4 linked regions of the Arabidopsis thaliana genome follow. The protein of the gene in region 4 interacts with the protein of the main gene of each other region in a pairwise test. Each region holds a gene or a part of one and is shown on either strand. Other genes may lie near its edges. The genes, in order: CDF2, AT5G47390, PLDBETA2 and TCP9.

Evidence for each region.
Region 1: the proteins of TCP9 (region 4) and CDF2 interact in binary tests that used the Arabidopsis thaliana proteins (3 or more experiments, as listed by UniProt).
Region 2: the proteins of TCP9 (region 4) and AT5G47390 interact in binary tests that used the Arabidopsis thaliana proteins (3 or more experiments, as listed by UniProt).
Region 3: the proteins of TCP9 (region 4) and PLDBETA2 interact in binary tests that used the Arabidopsis thaliana proteins (3 or more experiments, as listed by UniProt).

The regions. Positions count from the first base shown.
Region 1 is NC_003076.8:15,876,858-15,882,041, forward strand, and holds CDF2 (cycling DOF factor 2), read left to right. Parts: upstream 1-1,868; 5' UTR 1,869-2,062; coding exon 2,063-2,296; intron 2,297-2,715; coding exon 2,716-3,855; 3' UTR 3,856-3,922; exon of another isoform or gene 3,923-4,224; 3' UTR 4,225-4,680; downstream 4,681-5,184. UniProt on the Arabidopsis thaliana protein: Transcription factor that binds specifically to a 5'-AA[AG]G-3' consensus core sequence. Regulates a photoperiodic flowering response. Transcriptional repressor of 'CONSTANS' expression.
Region 2 is NC_003076.8:19,224,903-19,229,438, reverse strand, and holds AT5G47390 (myb-like transcription factor family protein), read right to left. Parts: upstream 2,671-4,536; 5' UTR 2,439-2,670; coding exon 2,156-2,438; intron 1,995-2,155; coding exon 1,786-1,994; intron 1,499-1,785; coding exon 893-1,498; 3' UTR 544-892; downstream 1-543. Other genes in the region: AT5G47400 (sphingomyelin phosphodiesterase), read right to left, coding at 1-277. UniProt on the Arabidopsis thaliana protein: Transcriptional repressor. Direct regulator of the transcription of peroxidase (Prxs) and reactive oxygen species (ROS)-related genes via the recognition of 5'-ATCACA-3' motif.
Region 3 is NC_003075.7:105,716-112,738, reverse strand, and holds PLDBETA2 (phospholipase D beta 2), read left to right. Parts: upstream 1-1,733; 5' UTR 1,734-2,020; coding exon 2,021-3,208; intron 3,209-3,563; coding exon 3,564-3,680; intron 3,681-3,750; coding exon 3,751-3,945; intron 3,946-4,191; coding exon 4,192-4,440; intron 4,441-4,595; coding exon 4,596-4,664; intron 4,665-4,753; coding exon 4,754-4,901; intron 4,902-5,207; coding exon 5,208-5,356; intron 5,357-5,530; coding exon 5,531-5,707; intron 5,708-5,789; coding exon 5,790-5,987; intron 5,988-6,065; coding exon 6,066-6,359; 3' UTR 6,360-6,489; downstream 6,490-7,023. UniProt on the Arabidopsis thaliana protein: Hydrolyzes glycerol-phospholipids at the terminal phosphodiesteric bond to generate phosphatidic acids (PA).
Region 4 is NC_003071.7:18,819,705-18,823,852, reverse strand, and holds TCP9 (TCP family transcription factor), read left to right. Parts: upstream 1-1,963; 5' UTR 1,964-2,065; coding exon 2,066-3,136; 3' UTR 3,137-3,611; downstream 3,612-4,148. Other genes in the region: SSE1 (shrunken seed protein (SSE1)), read left to right, coding at 165-226, 327-388.

The sequences.
Region 1 (5,184 bases), on a different chromosome or scaffold from region 4:
AATTAGCAATAATGAAATGGAGTTTTGTTTTTCCTAGTAACGATATGAAAATTTATTCGAATCAATCTTGTATTGTAATATTCGAAATTTGATCACCATGTTTTCATTAAGCAAAAATTCTCCGTTTTCACCAAGAGTCACTTAATGAACTTAGCCAGCTTTTACAATATAGTTCATTCAAGTTCTTTTTTTTTTTTTTTTACAATATAGTTCATTCAAGTTCTTTTTTTTTTTTTTTTTACAATATAGTTCATTCAAGTTCTTTTTTTTTTTTTTTTTTACAATATAGTTCATTCAAGTTCTAATTCGAGAATGTTCAAGTCATGTGATATATCAACGAGACTTGTTTTTATACGAAAAATGCTAATTTTAATAAAACAAAACTCAAATAACGTTTCTTTAGTTCGGGGAAACAGTCGAAAAATGATAAAATATGTTTCCTAAGAATCTTTATCAGTCGTGCCTCCAAGTGGGGATAATATAATAAATGTAATGAAAAAACTTTATTATATAGTATATATTTGTGATTTGGGGTGGTCTGAAATAAAGGTACTATATACTTATCCACATAATTGCACTTTTTCAATGTTAGACTTGGCGTTCAATTACTTCTTATCCACAATATTGCACTTTTTCCAAATCGACTTGGCGTTCATTAGTAACCACAACTTCTAACATCGACTTATTACAGCCACGTATCTCTGATATGTTGAAGATTTTATGACAAGAATATAGGCAAAAAAGAGGAAAGAAACTGAAGATCCACTATATAGTAAATACTTGTAGCTTCATTTAAAAAAAAGAAAGTGATTTCAATGTTAATTTATTTTTCCTACAAGTACCAAGCTAAAACTGTAACTAAATGACTATTATTATCAGCGTAAAAAAACACATACTCCTTTTGTTTTTTTTTTTTGATTTTCTAGAAAAAAATTGTTTCAAAAAGATTGATTTTTTGGTTTTCAATGCAATATTTATTTAGTTATAATTGATAAATTGTAAACTTCAATAAGAATTATTGAATATCATTGGTTTAGAGTTATTGAAAATTATAAATTACAAAGAATAATACATTTAAAAGCAACATTTAATATGTTTTCTTAATATTTGTGTTTTTCCTAAAAAATCAAAGAAAAAAGAACACAAGGAGTATCAATCTGTAAAATGGATTTGTTTGAAGACAAAGATTGGTTTTTTTGGGGATAAAATACTATATTTTTTTAGTATTTTAATTTTTTGTTGGATCTTCTTAGTTCTTTAAAAATGAGAAAATTAATGTTTATATCATGTAATTTGTTTCTTTCATAAATATGTTTTTTTTTTCTTTCTCTCCAAATCTAATCATGATATTGTTTTCCATGGATATGGCTATTATAGAAAGCTAGGAATTAAAAAGTGTTTCAAGGTTTTAAATATGTTTTTTGTTTGTTACTCTAAAGTTTGTTTTTTCTTCTGAAATTTCATTTATAAACAGTAATTTTTTAATAAATGTGTGGGTAACAAAAAATTTATTGACATAGTTAGAATTAGAAAACATGTAAATTAGAAGTTAAATGGCCTTTAATCAACCATTTTTACATTAATTTAAAAAAATTCAGACTTTTAAAATAAAAAAGTTAAAAATGAAAAGAAAAGTAAAAGTAAAAAAAAGTGCTGACCACTGACCAGATTGAAAAGGAAAATAAAAAGAAAGCCAAAAAGAGACGAAAAAGAGAAAAAAAAAAGTCCACAAAAACAAAAATAAACTTGTGGCTAAGAATCCTCACGTGTGATGACGTGGCACTCTGGGCGAATCAAAAGGTTGTACAATTCGAAAGATCACAAACCCAAAAAGCAAAATCTGTAAATCTTTTTTCTTTCTCTCTCGCAAAGACAAAAAAGCATTCCCAATTAACAAATCTAGAAATCAAAACTCAGACAACCACCGATAACAAGACAGTCGTTTCTCTCTCTCTTTTAAACAAATAAAAATTGGAACTTTTTTCCTCTGTCTTCTCAAAAAGTTTCCGCTTTTTGCTCGCTGGAGAAGAAAGAAAGAAAGAAGTGAAAAGGAATCATTACCATGGCTGATCCGGCGATTAAGCTCTTTGGAAAGACGATTCCTTTACCTGAGCTTGGTGTTGTTGATTCTTCTTCTAGCTATACCGGATTTTTAACCGAAACTCAGATTCCTGTTCGGTTATCAGATTCGTGTACCGGCGATGATGATGATGAAGAGATGGGTGATTCCGGTTTAGGACGAGAAGAAGGTGATGATGTTGGTGATGGTGGAGGAGAGAGCGAGACTGATAAAAAGGTTAGTTTTTTTTGGAACTTGTGAATTGATTTTGATTTGTTAAATGGAAATGATTGATGGGTTTATGTTAGATTGGTCAAATCTTAGTTTTATTGATAAAGTTATGATTTTTGGTTTGTTTATGTAAGAACTAGGTTTTCAGAGCTTTTGGGGATTCGAAAATTGTAAATCTGGATTCTCAAATGAGTTTTTTTTTTTCCTTTTGTTATAAAGTGATTTGAGATCTTAATTAGTTCCATTTGGTTTTGATTGATGGTTATAGGTTTTGATATTGATTTGCTTAAGAACTTTTCAGGGTTTTAGCTTCTCTGTGATTGGAATCAAGTCTTTGATCCCTGTAGCTTCTAGCTTCTGTTTGTTGTTTGTTTGATTAGGATACATAACAACGATCTGACTCTGGTTCTTATGTTATTCTTCAGGAAGAAAAAGATAGTGAGTGTCAGGAAGAGTCATTGAGGAATGAATCTAATGATGTTACTACTACTACATCGGGTATAACTGAAAAAACGGAAACAACAAAAGCTGCAAAGACGAATGAAGAGTCAGGTGGTACTGCTTGCTCTCAAGAGGGGAAGTTAAAGAAACCTGATAAGATTCTACCGTGTCCGCGATGTAACAGCATGGAAACCAAGTTCTGTTACTACAACAACTATAATGTTAACCAACCTCGCCATTTCTGCAAGAAATGTCAGAGATATTGGACAGCTGGTGGAACGATGAGGAATGTTCCGGTTGGTGCTGGGAGACGTAAGAATAAGAGTCCAGCTTCTCATTATAACCGTCATGTAAGTATAACATCTGCGGAAGCTATGCAGAAGGTGGCGAGAACTGATCTTCAACATCCTAATGGTGCAAATCTTCTCACTTTTGGCTCTGATTCTGTGCTTTGTGAATCTATGGCTTCTGGATTGAATCTTGTTGAGAAGTCATTGTTGAAGACACAAACTGTATTGCAAGAACCCAATGAAGGCTTGAAGATTACGGTTCCGTTAAACCAGACAAACGAAGAAGCTGGAACAGTCAGCCCGTTACCAAAAGTTCCATGCTTTCCAGGACCACCACCAACTTGGCCTTACGCTTGGAACGGAGTTTCGTGGACGATTTTACCGTTTTACCCTCCACCGGCTTACTGGAGCTGCCCGGGGGTTTCACCGGGGGCATGGAACAGCTTCACATGGATGCCACAACCCAATTCACCATCTGGTTCCAATCCAAATTCTCCTACACTAGGTAAACATTCACGTGACGAGAACGCTGCTGAACCAGGAACCGCTTTTGATGAAACCGAGTCACTTGGTAGGGAGAAAAGCAAACCCGAGAGATGCTTGTGGGTTCCCAAGACGCTGAGGATTGATGATCCAGAGGAAGCTGCTAAAAGTTCCATCTGGGAAACATTAGGGATCAAAAAAGACGAAAATGCGGATACTTTCGGAGCTTTCAGATCATCAACCAAAGAAAAAAGCAGTCTTTCTGAAGGAAGACTTCCGGGAAGAAGACCGGAGTTGCAAGCGAATCCTGCTGCTCTTTCTAGGTCAGCAAACTTCCATGAGAGCTCATAGAAAGAAGAAGAATCTAAGCAGCTGATTTGATTGTTTTTGGGTTCAGTCTTGTGTTCCAAGAAAGCAGGTGAGTCCTTTTGTACATATAGCTATATATACACACACATGTTTGTGTATATATATATAATGGTTGACATAGTGAGGGATAAGTAGTTTTTGGATTGCAGAGTGAAAGTTTGTTGTATCATAAATGAAAAAACCTCAAAACTGTAGTTAAATAAATGTATCTTGCATGAATAACTTATTTTCCCTATCATGACATTGTATGTTCACAGACAAATTCAAACAAGTTTAAAGGAACGTTTATAGTTATCCACATGATGTATGATTCTCAGAATCTTGAGAGTGATCTAACTTATTGGACTTCAGTAGTAGTGGCAGCAACAAGCTTGTTTTCGGCATCCGCGGAGGAGCGAACCACTGTCTTCAACTTCTTAGATGACCGCGATGTCAAGTGTTTACCATGGTAAATCAGGTTTGCTTTAGTAGATGTGTAGTCATTCTTATAACCAGTCCAAAAATCACCCAACAAAGACATGAACCAAGTCTCGAAAAAGCAAGCCGCGATCACCAATACTGCGAAAATAACGCAAACACAGCTTCTTCACTGCAAGCAAATGGTCATGGTTGATGCATGAATGGAGAGTCTATTGACAACATACATAAGCAAAAGCAATGTGGTAGATGCATGAAGAGAAGATATTGCAAGCTGCCAACTACGGTTCGATATTTGTATAATCTAGGATTAAAAATATTAAAGAAACCACACTAAATGGATTGACAAAGTCAGCTATATCAGAAGATTTATCGTCTATTGACCAAAACAACCAATGAAAGAACATTTTGATACTATATTAAGAGATAAGTAGTAAATTAATATAGAAGAAGTTTGTGAAAAACGCCAAAAGAAAAAGAAAGCCACTACCTTGTTTGTTCAGTTGCAATTTCCAGGAAATTTAGTAAGGAAATTAGTTGCAATTGTGACATTAAATTCGTGTTAGTCTTTTTCATGACTAGAACAATAAGAGTACTATTGAATTAGTCATCGTTTAATTGATTTCTTACGTTTGGTCAAACAAGTCACGGATTATGGTGAGAAAACGATTACTTAATTGTGGAAATTAGCTATAAGAAATTTTCCTTTGCTTTTTATGTTTTTCTTAGTCTACTTGTTTGTCTCGCTGCCTTACTCTTGCAAAATTTATACGAAATTTCGTCTGAATATTTTACATAAAGTAAAGTAAGTATTCATATGAAATTTGTATCAAAATTTGTCAAGACTAGTAAGAATGAACTGAACCACACAATACAACAATTCAAACCATGACC
Region 2 (4,536 bases), on a different chromosome or scaffold from region 4:
TGGAAGCTGAGAGTATAGCTGAAGCTAGGTCTTGTGATTGCGAAAGCGAATCGACGGTGTAGGAGTGTGGAAGCATCGCTAAATACGAAGGTGAAAACGAAACAAGGGTTTTTATCGAGAGATAGAGCAAAGGTTTACGCCGGAGAAGAAGGGTTTGAAATGCGAGGCGACTCAAATCGCGCCTTGTGAAGGGGAAAAGAAAAACCAAAGAGGGACAAAAGAGAAGAAAAAAAATCAACACGAGGAAGAAAAAGAAAGCGAACGTGCCACGTGGCATCTGTGTAAATCACCGCGATTAATTTTCCATGACAGTGGACTTTTTAACCAAAGAGTGGAGTGAATCGGTGAACGCGGGAACACTCTCGACACTCATCGCCCTAAATTTAACGCTCCTGATTATGACACGTTATTCACTCTTTTAAGGCCCATTTAGACTAATTGTTTAGCCCATTCGTTTTTTTACTTACGAAACGCTTGGGAACTTGTTTACTTTCTCTTACAACACTGGAGTCCGGTTAAATCCGGTTCGTCTTGGTTTAATTTCCGTTTTCAATCCAGTTATAGTTTTTGGTCAGAGGATAAACAAACTGTGATTTTATTTATTCAAAACTAATAAATTCTAATTTTTAGTACAGATTAAACGAAAATTAACGCATCCTAGAGTCAAAATAAAAGCATACAAATATAAAGAAATGTAAGCAAAAAATAATAATTTGTTTTTCTCCCTTTTTTTTTTCTTTTTTCTTTTCCCTAATGATCAAAGCTGAACTAAAACATCCTACCCAAGTTAAACAACCTAACAAAGAAAAACTTATTTAAGTTACTGTGACCAACAACTAACCTGTAAACCCCAAACCAGATCCCATTTTAGACCATCACTTCCTCAGGTCTTTTATAAAGCGTGTATCACGCTTTTGATGTCTGAACTATCAGAGCTAGGATTCGGGTGAAATGCTGATTGTCTTGAAGATGACCCGCCACCTAGCTTCAATGAAAGAGACTGATCGGATTCTCCATGTTTGTTGGACTCTGCAAGGCTGAGCTTAGACATACCAAGAAGCTCGTCAACATTGATAGGAGCTTTCGAGTGCACAGCAGTTGGTCTGAGAATTTCATGAGTTTCCTCTTTCTTGGGTGGTTCAGGAACATAACCAGCAGGCCATATTGGGAATGGAAACGGGTAATATGGTGAAAAGTAGGTCGGATATAGTATGGGGAATGAGCCAGGTAGTTGCGGCTGCGGTTGCAGTTGTGATTGCAGTTGTGTGGTTTCTTCTAGTCTGGAAGAAGAAGAAGCAGCAGCGGCAGTTGCGGTTGGTTCCCCGGTGGTAGAGTTTGTGGAGTCCATTGATTCACATTCTTCGATTTCCAAGATTGACGGTGCGTGAAGTGAGCTAGGAGCAAGTGTCTGATGAATAGAGTCAGCACCTTGCATTTCAGTTTCCACAGGAATATTATCTTCCTCTGGTTCTTGCAAATCCATGGGAATATCTCCAACCTACAAGGACAAATCACACAGCATAAGCAGAATAAAGAAAGAGAATTACATTTCAAGATCACATTCCCATGAGAAGACCAAAATGCTTAAGCAGGATTGGCTACAAAATGATATCCTCAAGCATATCAATTAGAACCCCAACAGACTTCAACTTTTCATATTGAAATGTAGAAGGCAAACCAATCCACCTAATAAGCTTCTGAATCCTTTAAATCAGTATCTCAACACATTTTGTAACCACTCCAATATAAATAAAAATGGTGTTTTTGAATGAAGAAGGAACAAACCTCATCAGGAACCATATCAAAGAGACTAGAACGTCTTTTGCGACGAGAGACATTGGATTGTCTGATGAAATACTTCTGAGCATGGCTAGCAACTTGTGTAGGTGTCCTAGTGGTCACATAGTTTCTTGAGATACCTCTCCAATCACCTTTACCCAGCTTCTGTAAACCTAATAAGAACATCCTGTGTTCTTCCTCTGTCCATGGAGTTCCTACAACAAAACCAATATCAAACACACATCAAAATCTTGTTACATAAACCAGATCACCACTTGTTACATAATGCAATCAACGACTTTGATGCAAAATAAACTCAATTACAAAAATTTGGAATTTGATAAAAAATTTAATCTCAGAAATCAAACGAAGATACCTTTCTTTCTCTCGCGGCTAGAGGAAGAGCCAGCAACGAAATCCTCAGAAGCGTAACCATCACCAGCGACATGGTCAGGGACATCACCCGGAGAACCCGGAGTGTTGGACCCGGTTCCATGCCCACCCGATCCAGAACCCGTGTAATGGCTAAGATTACCCATACTTGCACTTTTCCGGATCGAACCTTCGGTGAGCCGAACACCAAAGAGCTTCACGCCGCGATTGGGACAAGTCCGAGAGTTGTGGCCATTGTGATTGCAGTGAGAACATCGACGAGTCATACCCGACCCGATTTGCTTCTCTTAATCGGATCTGATCGAAGTCTGAAACGCTCGCGGATCGGATCTTAGTTGATCGCAGAAGAAGCACAGAATCTAATTGTGAGAAAGAGATAGAGAGACAAAGGAGCGGAAGAAAGACAATAATATCAGTTTATCTGGTCGGATTTATTACATAAATTCGATTTATCTGGCCGGATTTTTTTTTTTATTTATTTATTTTTTTTATTTTCAGTTTGTTTTTCTTTTGCTCTTAGTATGTTTATTTATATATATAAAAATCGGAAATTATTTGGTGTATCGTTGGTGGATTTTTTTCCTTTTCCATATTTCATATTTGACTTAATTAGTCAATCCAACGTGTTCTATTATTAGAAGATTTATTTTAGAAAAAATGTTGAATTACTTTGAACTAAGAAGTCCAACTAGCTATTACTATTAATTATTAATGGCCATTTTTGTATAAATTTTTTGGAAAAAGATGTATTACAGGCTAATCTCAATATCCAAAGTTTTAAATTTAGGATTAAAAAAAATAACAGCTTTCTCTGTGATTTCTTTTTAACATTATGACATATATCTTAAATAAGTTACTATATATTAATGCCACCACAAATAGTATAGCTGTAACTAATAACTCTTTCTATATAGACTAGTTAATAGGTTTAATGCATTTGTGATTATCCAATTGTCTTATGCTAAATCATTACAATTTCCTTATATTTTTCTATTTATATAAGGATGGATATCTATACAAAAACTGCAAAAAGAAAAATTAAGTATTTATGTACAAGTGTTAACCCTCCACCAGAAATTAACAATTGGCATGAATATTATTAGCCACAAGATTAATTACACTATTCAACATTTTAAAATATCTTAATAGCCCTTCACGCGTTCCATACAGAAAGCTTGACTAGATTTTAACAGTTATAAACACAAATAAGTAAAATATGACATCTGTTTAATAAGTTATCATAAGAAAAATGGTAAACAAATGCCAACATCCTACACATAGAGAAAATCTAATTTTTGGTCATATAGTAAGGCGACAAAACTATTGTTATTTATTTAATAATCTAAACTGAAAATAAAAGTAGACCCATGACTGAGTAAAATATGTTATCTTAAGAAAGATAAACATGATTGTGATTTCATTTCTTGCTAAGATTACAAATACCATAATATTTGTATTAGACACCCCCTAACTCCAAAAGTCATATCTTATAATACTAAGATATATTTTATTTTGTGGTTAATTGTATTATTATTATAGATTTATAGTTCCATAATCATTTGTATGGATTAGAAGAAGAATAAATTAAAAGGCAATGCAGTTTTTGTTTATGAACAGAAAAAAAAAAATGGACGAACATTTTGGATTTTAGATGATAGAAAGAGAGATAATATGAGTGGATGGGTTTAGTGATATAGATTAGGAGGTCCCACGTTTGAAAATGCCACGTGGACACGAGGAGAGCGGCTTATCCAGAAAGGAACCTTTGGTCAGATCTTCTTATATTATTGTGGGATTCCTTCACAAAGCTTTATCAGCCGTCCACGTGTATTTCTCCCGTCGGTGGCATATTCGCATATTATTTCAGATTTCTTGTCATTATTTCATCTTATTATATAACAACAACAACGTTACTCAAATCTTCTTTCACCTAAATTATAAGTTTCTAGCTATTTTTAGCCACATACATAGTGTTTATACCTTTCTCCAACTTTTTATACCAATTTGATTTCATCTTCATTATAATATCCTTTTGCATGCCGTGGAGGATCCCAGTGTTTGTATTTTTAAAAGTTGAGAGACTTTGACAAAAAAATTGAGAGAAACCCCGGGAAAACGTTTTGACTGTGATTGACCCAAGTAAACGTGGACCTTGGGCCAATTTAAATCTCGAGGCCCAAATGCTGTCTGCTTCCAAGAAATTATCGAACATTGAATAAATGATGAGTAATGAATTATTTTTCGGTGGAAACTGAAAGTACAGTGTCTCGTTGAATAAATATGAAAATTTAACGGACTTTTCAAAATTGGGAAAAAACAAGGAAATTTATATCGGAACATTAAATTCTCAATGTACTCGGACCG
Region 3 (7,023 bases), on a different chromosome or scaffold from region 4:
TTTTGTAAATGTGCTTCTTTTTTTAATGTCTCTCTACTCAAAACTCATGACCAGAGTTATTACAAAACAAAGAAACACACAATAGAATGGATTCACAAACATATTCAACAAGAGTTCTAAATAGCTTATATGGTGATAGGTTCAACCTCATTAAACAAAATGGATTCTGAAATGATGTTTGTAAATTGTATATTTATTGTTTATGATAATTACGTGCAGTTTGAGTTATTCTGGTGACACTAGTTCCTCTTTCTCAAGTACCAAATGCAACCAAAATAAAACATATACATTTAGTTACAATCTTTCACAGAAGTTATTATGTCTATAATAAAAAAATTAAGAGATTCTGCATCTTGAAACTGCAAAGTAGGTGAGGAAATAAAAAGAAACATAAATTGTGTTTATGAGCATGCTTGTTGTTAGAGTCCCAATATGTAGTAGAGTAGCTTGCAAGAAATCAGAGTTAATTATGCGTTTAAGAGCATGCTTGTGTGTGTAAGTGTTTCAAGTAAAACTATAATAAGTATGTGTGTTTGTATCTTGTAAGAGAATCACCCAAGTTTTATTATCAAGACATCATGCTCTTAAACGTGTTCTTGTTTCTCTCTAAAGAAAACAAAAGCAAAACAGAGTGACAAGAGAGTGAGAGTGCTGACCTCAAAAGAATGTTGGAAGAGGTAGTTTGAGAGTGAAAGTGTGATTTTCAACAGATATCTTCCTCACGTAGAAGAAGTTGAATGGTTAATATCAATATTGTTATGTATAACCAAGAAAGCTATAGAATTGCACTATGATATTGTGAAGCTGCAGAAAAATAAACAACAGTAAAGTACATACTTGAACAAGAAAATGAACTTTGTTAGTCCGCGTACTTGTCTTAACTCTTATGCAGGGGTAGCCAAGCAATATGAAACATTTAGTGTGGCCCATTTTTTTTTTTTCAAATTCTTTAACAAAAATTATTTACAAAATGGCCCCAATTTTATTGATTTTAACGATAATTGGCCCTAAATTTTAAAACCTTTCAAAATAATCTTGGATTTTTTGTTTTTTTGTATGTTGCCCATAAAACCGTCAGGTCTTAGGTAAAACATCTATAAATTAATATTCAATAAATTAATAAACTTTATAAATTAATAAATTCATTCAATCCCGAGTTGAAACCAGTGTAAGAATTGATACAAATCGATAAATTAATAAAATAATAACTTTTTGTGAAAATCATATGTAAATATTTGGTCCCATCAATATTATAAATTCACTAATTTATATATATATATATATAGATATATACTAAAATATGAATATAGTATTCAATTTGTATTAATTCTTTGTAGAATTTAATTCTAATATTTTTACTAAATCGAAAAATTTAGTTTTGGTTTTTAAACTTGATAATTGTTTAATAATTGTAATTGGTTTCAAAAATATTATTGATTATAAGAAAAGAAAAAAAATACCTTTTTTGATTGAATATTATAAGAAATTACATAATTTGTAAAATTTCTTTATAAATTAATATCTCTTCAAATTAATAAATTTTATCAATCTTAAAATTATTAATTTATAGAGATTTTACCTAATATGCATTTTTAACTAAAAGTCATAATGTTATATATTTTATTTATATTTAGAGAATAATATATATATTAAAAAAAAAAAAAAAAAAGGTTGACAAGTGGAAATATGTGACCGGCAATAGTAAGTTAAGTTGACCAAAACCAAAACCAATAAAATCAAAATCGAGAGACTCTTTCTTCCCCCAAGCGAAGAAGCGATGATCAAAATTTTACAACGGTTCCTCCATTTTCAGCGAAGGTAAGTCTCACCTAATTCCTTGGAACTAAGCTCCGCTGTGATCCGAATGTACTTATATATCTCTCTCTTCTGATCAATTCGCAAACCGCCATTGTTGCTTTTTTGAAATTTCGCTTCTGATGAAGAAATGTTGATCGGAGAAAACGTTGAAGACGTTTGAATTTCTTTATGAATTAGTCAGTTGTGGTGTTAGTTAGTTACGATGGAGAATTATGGTTGGAATTACCCTTATTACCCTTACAGGCCTCCGCGGCCTAATCCTCCTTACCCAGCACCGCCTCATCACCATGGATCAATGTCTCATTCGGGTCCATTAGACCACCACCACCCTCCAATGAGTTACTATGCTTCTTTTGATTACCAACACCAACCTCCTCCTCCTTACCCTCCAGTGAGTTACTATGCTTCGTTTTCAAGTCATTCAGATTTATCATACTCAGGCAGGCTAGATTCGTCTGGTCATGGTTTTACATCTACCGCATCGCCGCATAGTCCCGGTATGCACATTGTGCCCTTTGGTAAAGCCTCCTTGAAGGTCCTCTTGTTGCATGGTAATTTGGATATTTGGGTTTCTTGTGCTAATAATCTACCAAACTTAGATTTGTTTCATAAGACATTGGGTGTTGTGTTTGGTGGCATGACCAATATGATCGAAGGCCAGTTGAGCAAGAAGATCACTAGTGATCCTTACGTGTCCATATCAGTCGCTGGTGCTGTCATAGGAAGAACATATGTCATTAGCAACAGCGAAAATCCTGTCTGGCAGCAGCATTTTTATGTCCCTGTAGCTCATCACGCTGCCGAGGTCCATTTTGTTGTTAAGGACAGTGATGCCGTCGGTTCACAGCTTATAGGAATTGTTACAATCCCTGTTGAACAAATTTACTCAGGTGCAAGAATTGAAGGGACTTACTCCATTCGAGACAGCAATGGAAAGCCTTGTAAACCAGGGGCAACTCTATCATTGTCGATTCAGTATACTTCAATGAATAAACTCAGTGTTTATCACAGCGGAGTTGGTGCAGGTCCCTATTACCAGGGGGTGCCTGGAACATATTTTCCTCTTAGGGAAGGTGGAAGTGTCACATTGTACCAAGATGCACATGTACCTGAAGGGATGCTCCCGGGAATAAAACTCGGAAATGGAATGTGTTACGAACATGGAAAGTGTTGGCATGATATGTTTCATGCCATTTGTCAAGCTAGACGTTTGATTTATATTACAGGCTGGTCAGTGTGGCATAATGTCAGGCTTGTTCGGGATAAAGAAGATCCTTCTTCAGAATGTAGACTAGGTGAGCTCCTAAGATCAAAGTCCCAAGAAGGTGTGAGAGTCCTGCTTTTGGTTTGGGACGACCCAACTTCACAAAACATCTTGGGATACATGACCGTAAGTTACTGGAAACCTCAAGTCCCTACTTCTTTATTGGTTGTGAAGTGCATATGTTAGCTAGGCTATATAGGGTAGGAACCAGAACATCTTTTAGAGTCTCGGAAGTCAACAGCTTTGGCTTCTTCAAGTCGTATTGAGGTTCCTTCCGTTTATTTGTTAGCCTACTTTTCCTTGTAGACCAGAAATTTTTTGGTGGGTTTAATCTTCAGTTTGAATCTAGTAAGTATGAGAAATGTTTGCTTCACGCAGAAACCTGCAACTAGATAGAGATATATGTATCTTAGATGACATAGTTTAGATATGGTTATTCATGTATGTTTTAGGTATTGACACAATTTGTTCACATGAACAGGATGGGGTTATGGGAACCCATGACGAGGAGACACGCCGTTTTTTCAAGGACTCCTCAGTGCAAGTCTTGCTATGCCCTCGAAATGCTGGAAAGCGACATAGTTGGGTCAAACAGAGGGTAGAACATGAATTTTTGGTCTTTTTTTTGGTTGTGGTATCCGGCTTCTATTTATATTTTAGTCCATCAGGAAGTTGGAACCATCTATACACACCACCAAAAAAACTTAATAGTAGATGCCGATGCTGGGGGTAACAGAAGGAAAATCGTAGCTTTTGTGGGCGGGCTTGATCTATGTGATGGCCGATATGATACTCCTCAACATCCGTTGTTTAGGACACTGCAAACAGATCATAATGGTGACTATCACAACCCCACTTTCACGGTATGTCTGCTTGCCTTTCTAAATATATATTAGTGTAACTTTGGTGTCGAATACTTAAGGAATTTATAGCAAGGAATAACCTTTGGCAGTGGAAAAACATACTGCTTTTAACTTTATTAAGTGGTACTTCAATCTTTGTCTGTCTTCTCAAGTTCTTCTTGGTGATTACCTAAGTAATTCTTAGTTGCTAGTTTCTTTTGTTCTGAATGGGAAAGCCTTGACTTGGATTACTAAAATGTAATTAAGGGTAACGTGTCCGGTTGTCCAAGAGAACCTTGGCATGACTTGCACAGTAAGATTGATGGCCCAGCTGCGTATGATGTGCTGACAAATTTTGAGGAGAGGTGGCTGAAGGCTGCTAAGCCTCACAGAATCAATAAATTGAAGACGTCATATGATGATGCACTACTAAGGATCGACAGGATTCCAGATATATTAAGAGTTTTGGATGCTCCTACTGTTAGTGCAAACGACCCCGAGGCTTGGCATGTTCAGGTACGCACCATTGTATTAAAGTTTGGTTCTGATTAATTCACAAAGTCCATGGAAAGATGCCCATCTCTCAGTTGAACCATGCAAATTTTATACTTTGGTCCACAAATATTGTCCCAAATTTCTGAAGCTAATAATTGTCTGGTTTTGTAAATCAGATTTTCCGGTCAATCGATTCAAACTCTGTGAAAGGTTTTCCAAAGGATCCAAAATATGCTACAAGCAAGGTGAGGTGAAAAAATCAAAGAAACTTTGTGCTGTCATTATGATTTGGTTGGCTTGGAAATTGATGGATAGAGGGATTTTGTTTGGACAGAATTTGGTGTGCGGTAAGAATGTGCTCATTGACATGAGCATACACACCGCATATGTAAAGGCCATTCGTGCAGCTCAACACTTCATCTACATCGAGAACCAGTATTTCATTGGATCCTCCTACGACTGGAATGCTCACAAGGACATAGGTTTGTTTGTCTTTGTTTTTTCAAGTGAGCTCATGATTAGGAAAAACTCAAGATTACGATAATTTTCTCAAAATGTGTGTATATATACATGAATTAATACACAGAACAGAGACATTGTTTTTATCACTTTTCCAGTGCATTTAGCTGCGTCTGTGGTAACTCTTTTGCTTGTGGTTTTGACATTTCAGTTTCTTTGGTATTAAAATGTTGAGCACTATTCTCAGTATTTTTCTCAACTTAAGACAATGGTCTTGACAACCTTGGTCATTTCTTTAAGGTTGTTTATTCTATGTTGTGGTCATGTAGGTGCCAACAACCTGATTCCTATGGAAATTGCGTTGAAGATTGCTGATAAGATCAGAGCAAAGGAACGGTTTGCTGCATATATTGTCATTCCAATGTGGCCAGAAGGAGTTCCTACCGGCGCCGCTACACAAAGAATTCTATATTGGCAGGTAATTCTAGTGAAGTTGTGTCTTTGCAAACCGTTAACCTTCTCTGTCTTAGTCCATGTGACAATATTGATATCATGATCTTTCCCTTAATATTTCCTCAAAAATTGGTCAATGATCATTTAAGTAGACACTAGAAGATTGTGAAACTAAATGTCATAGTTATCGTCTTTGCAGCACAAGACGATGCAAATGATGTATGGAACTATCTACAATGCGTTAGTGGAGGCCGGGCTTGAAGATGAATACTCCCCACAAGACTATTTGAATTTCTTCTGTCTTGGAAACCGAGAAATGGTGAACGGAAATAATGAATCGGGTACAGGAAGTGCAAGCAACGAGAACACTCCTCAGGTAACAAAACCAAACTGCTTGACTTGCTAATGCGGTTTCTATCGTCATTGATTGATGAGTTTTGATTGAAACTGTATTATAGGGATTATGTCGAAAGAGCAGAAGATTTATGATATATGTTCATTCAAAAGGGATGGTTGTTGATGATGAGTATGTGGTAATTGGATCTGCAAACATAAACCAAAGATCAATGGAGGGGACAAGAGATACAGAGATTGCAATGGGAGCTTACCAGCCTCAACATACATGGGCACGACGACAGTCAGGTCCTCGGGGTCAGGTAATAGCACACAAAGATAGTACACACATGGTTTCATAGTCCTAGTCGTATCAATAATACTTGGTACATAATCTGCAGATCTACGGATATAGAATGTCGCTTTGGGCAGAACACATGGCACTGCTAGATGATTGCTTTGTGGAGCCAGAGAGTCTAGGGTGTGTAAGGAAAGTGAGAACAGTGGCGGAGGAGAACTGGGAACAGTTTAGGAGTGAGGAAGTGTCGGAGATGAGAGGACATCTGATGAAATATCCGGTGGAAGTTGATCGGAAAGGCAAAGTCCGACCACTTCCAGGAAGTGAGGAGTTCCCTGATGTCGGAGGAAACGTTGTTGGATCCTTTCTAGCCATACAGGAGAATCTCACTATCTAATCATAAGCAGAGTCGCATTTATTAAGAAGACCTTATATGTGTAAACAAACAACAATTGATCAGACTTTGTAAATAAACAAAGTTTGATGTTTCTCCTCAAGTTTGAATAACAAGTAAAAAGAAGCTACTTAATCCTAATTCTATTTAGAATAAGAAATCATGTACATGAAAAAGCTTTGGCCTGGCTATAAAATCCGAAATCCGAAAACCGATCCGGAACCGAACTTGAACCGAATAGTTACAAAATCCGAATGGATAATGAATTCTCCTATCCGAATTACTCGAACCGAATCCGATCCGAACCGAAATCCGAGAGGATATCCGAAAACTGAAAAATATATATATCCAAAAATATTATTTATATTTAGTTGTAATTTTATAATAAATAACAAAATATCCTAAATAATAAAGAAATTGGAAATCTTTTAGTTACATTTGTTAATAGTATACATACTTTTGCAAAATTTAACCAAATTTTAGTAAAGATTAAACCAATTTTTATTTAAGTTGAACAATTTTTAGCTCTTTAAAAACCGGTCCGAATCCGACACTTATCCGAACAAAAACCAAACCAAAGATTAGTAAAATCCGAACGGATAATAAATTTTCTATCCAAATTATCCGAATCCGAAAATATCCGATCCGAATTCGATCCGAAAATTCA
Region 4 (4,148 bases):
TTCAATTATGGCATTTTCTGAAATGGGAAAAATTGAAACCGAAGTGGTTCATTTCCTCTTGGCTCTTATGTTAATATTAGATTTGGTATCCCTGGGTTTTAGGCTTAAAGCTTAAGCTATCGCGGGTTACTAATAAATCAAATATGCTTGTCTTGCAATTGCAGGCAGAAGCTGGAAAGCTCTCAAAAGAAGCTGGAACTAATTCCATTGATCGGATTCCTCACAGGTTTACTTTTTAAAGCTTTCATTTCATTCACGAGATCACTGATTGTCTTGTCTACTTGCCATCTACTGACCTTATTTTGGTTCTCTCATGGAAATTGCAGAGAAAATTGTGGAGCTTTTGGAGGGAGCTCAGTCACGGTACACTTACATATCGGGATCGTGAGGTTAAGCGTTTTACTTATGGTTTATATGCAACGGAAGAATATTGCCATTGTTGGAATGCTTTTTCAGATCATCAAAGGCTCCTACAGATTTCTTAGGGAATGGTTTCAGGCTTTTGTTAGAAATTGTGTTTATTGCAACAGGTAGAGAACATAACCATAGACAGATGTATCTGAAGAGATAAGCTTCTCTATGTCTAAAGAAATGGACCGATACGAATAAAACAAGCATCATTAAAGATTAAATGGTTTGTAAGAAATACTACACTTATTTATGTGAAATTGTGTGGTTAGTGAAAAGTAAAAACATCGGAATCCAAAACCTCAAATTTACCAATCAGCCCAAATTATTGATGCTGGCGTAATGAATGGTATGCTGATGGTAGGCAAAAGTTGGTGGCTGCGAAAATTACAACATTATCCCTCTGTGGTGGACCCGAATCTGTAATCGGAAAAGGTGGAACCCACTTGGTTTAACTTTTAAGCCTAAAAGGTTACTACCGGTTTGACCGGTTTATAATTTGGTGTTTAATTCTAATCCCGGATCCGTTTGTTTGTTAATCTCAAGGCCACGTTATCGCCAATATTTTGATTTTTGAGTGGGTAGGGAATGGTGGGGTCGAATAGTTGGGCCTAGCCCTCAACAATGTGTGGAACTGAAGAGAGTAGGGTCCAGCTCAGGCCCACATTCACATTTTCGTTTTGTAGCCTTTCTTTTCTGGTGCTTACGGTCCCTCTTTCTGGTCGGTCGTATGTACAAGTAGCATAGCTAGTGGTTCAAACCCGAAACAAGTACCAACGAATCAAAATAAGTTTGAATCGGTTACATCTAGTTACCGTCGAACTTACAATCATTTCGATTACTTTGATCTGATTTCTAGTTCGGTTTGTATGTTTAATATCCGGATTGTACAAGTACACAAGTACATAAGTATGCGTATATGTATGTGACCGGTTTAATCAAAGGACGGACGATAGGAGGATTTTGGAATCCTGGAAAGAGGATTATTCCATAGACACTAATTAGCTTTTTGGTGGCGCAGCCTTGTGACCTACATTAATGGGGTCCAACCCCAAGTATGGGCTTACAGCTTTTTCCATAAAATTAAAGTAAATCTTTTTTTGCCTAACCAATAAAAATTATTGAAAATCTTTCCAACCATAGAAAAGTTAAATTTGATCAGCGATGGAAATTTTTGTACAAAGCTAGGTATTTCATTTGGGAGTGTACTAGTAACTAGTAAGTACTAACCAGAATGAGTTTCTGATTTTGGATTTTGAAGCTTTTCTTAGGTTAAAAAACAAGTATATTACTAAACAATAAAAGAAAAACATTTTGTGAAAAGAGAAATAAAGTTTACTGGACCCCATTGTACAGATGGTCCCATAATAATACTGATAGAAGATAGAGCAATGGAAAGTGATTTGTTCACGTGGTACAATCGGAATGGTTCTTTAAAGCTCATCGAACACATCAGGACCGTTGATTTTTCCCGCATCAAAAAGCGTTGAATACTATTCTCACTTGTTTTCCTGCTCCTATATATATATCCTGACGAGTCACATTTAGTAATCTCCTTGGACGTGTAACGCCGTTAAAACGATTCTTTCCCATTGTATCCGCTTTTAACAACTCTCGTCGTCATCTCCACCGTCCGTTTTCTCTCAGCTATATTTTAATGGCGACAATTCAGAAGCTTGAAGAAGTTGCAGGCAAAGATCAAACTCTAAGAGCCGTTGATCTAACCATCATCAACGGCGTCAGAAACGTCGAAACTTCAAGACCTTTCCAAGTAAATCCCACAGTGAGTCTCGAGCCCAAGGCGGAGCCGGTGATGCCGTCGTTTTCAATGTCTTTAGCTCCACCGTCTTCGACAGGACCACCATTGAAGAGAGCTTCGACTAAAGACCGTCACACGAAGGTTGAAGGAAGAGGGAGAAGGATACGGATGCCTGCCACGTGTGCGGCTAGGATTTTTCAATTAACTCGAGAGTTAGGTCACAAATCCGACGGCGAAACGATTCGGTGGTTGTTGGAGAACGCTGAGCCGGCGATTATAGCCGCCACGGGTACGGGAACGGTTCCCGCCATCGCCATGTCGGTTAACGGAACCTTAAAAATCCCGACGACGACGAACGCTGATTCTGATATGGGTGAAAATCTGATGAAGAAGAAACGTAAACGACCTTCTAACAGTGAGTATATAGACATAAGCGACGCCGTTTCAGCTTCCTCCGGTTTAGCTCCAATTGCCACGACGACAACGATCCAACCTCCGCAAGCTCTGGCATCATCCACTGTGGCTCAGCAACTTCTGCCGCAAGGAATGTATCCGATGTGGGCTATTCCATCAAACGCAATGATTCCGACGGTCGGAGCTTTCTTCTTGATTCCACAAATCGCTGGTCCGTCGAATCAGCCTCAGTTATTAGCTTTTCCCGCCGCCGCTGCTTCGCCGTCGTCTTACGTCGCCGCTGTTCAACAGGCTTCCACGATGGCTAGACCACCTCCTTTACAAGTTGTTCCAAGCAGCGGCTTTGTATCCGTTTCAGACGTTAGCGGTTCGAATTTATCAAGAGCGACGTCGGTTATGGCTCCGAGCTCAAGCTCAGGCGTAACAACCGGTAGTTCATCGTCAATTGCAACAACAACGACGCACACGCTGAGAGACTTCTCCCTAGAGATATACGAGAAACAAGAGCTTCACCAGTTCATGAGCACCACAACAGCACGGTCATCGAACCACTGAAGAAAAGAAAGGAAACGGCGGCGTATTAGTGATCGGAAAAAAAGCACGTGTGCACATGAAGAAGTGCACGTGTTAAGAAGTGGGCCTCGATTTTAGGCAGAAGTGGGTCAACACGCACCAAAAAGAGAGTGGAGGGAGGAGGAGAGGGGCCACACGGCTCCCACCTTACGCATAGCTTCCGAGGCAGCCAGGTTGGGTGTGGTCCCCAAATGGTTAGAGCTACGTGGTCCGTATGAGTAGGACCAGCTTAAGCTTAAGCATAATTCGAAACGTTTCGTTTTTTTGGTGGGGGCTCACCACTTTGTCTTGACTTTTTTGGTCTTTGTAATTTTACAAAATAAGATTTATTGAAGCCCTCTCTAAGTCATGGTCCACTCAACAACAATTGTGATATTGATGTTTTGATTTTATTAAAATCTGTAACAAAATAAATATTTCTATCTAAAATGAAAATACTAATGTTGTTTTCCTAAAATTGTTGTAGCATTACTTTTCAAATGATTCCATTTTCTTACAAGTGTTACAAAAGCTTTTTGCGAAAAAAGTCTCGTCCGTGTTATTGGCGGGGCCTAGTAAGCTTGATTGTACCACTAATACGGCGTTGTTTCGTGGGGCCTGAAAGCTTCCCACTCAAGGGACGCCTAGTTGGGTCAGCACCACCAGTTTAACGCTAAGGAAATAAAGGAACAGCCTGGCGTGGGTCATACTTGTGTCTATCTAATCTTTACCGTTCAATTCCATCGTCTTGTCCTAACCGTTGATTCTATTTCGTTCGTTGTTTAATTAGTACTAGTAGTAGTAGATATTTTCTTCTTGTCTACGGTCTCAACGCCAGACAGGATTTACTATAAGATAACTTTGTTTATGTTTGATTTATAATTCAAGTGTGGTTGGTTAAAGTTAAACCATGGTTCTCCGTTTCACACCGTTGATTATATATTTTTTTAAGATATGTAGGAAGTAAAACTTTAAAAGGTTAAACACAAGGTAAAATGTATTATTGGAGGCCTAA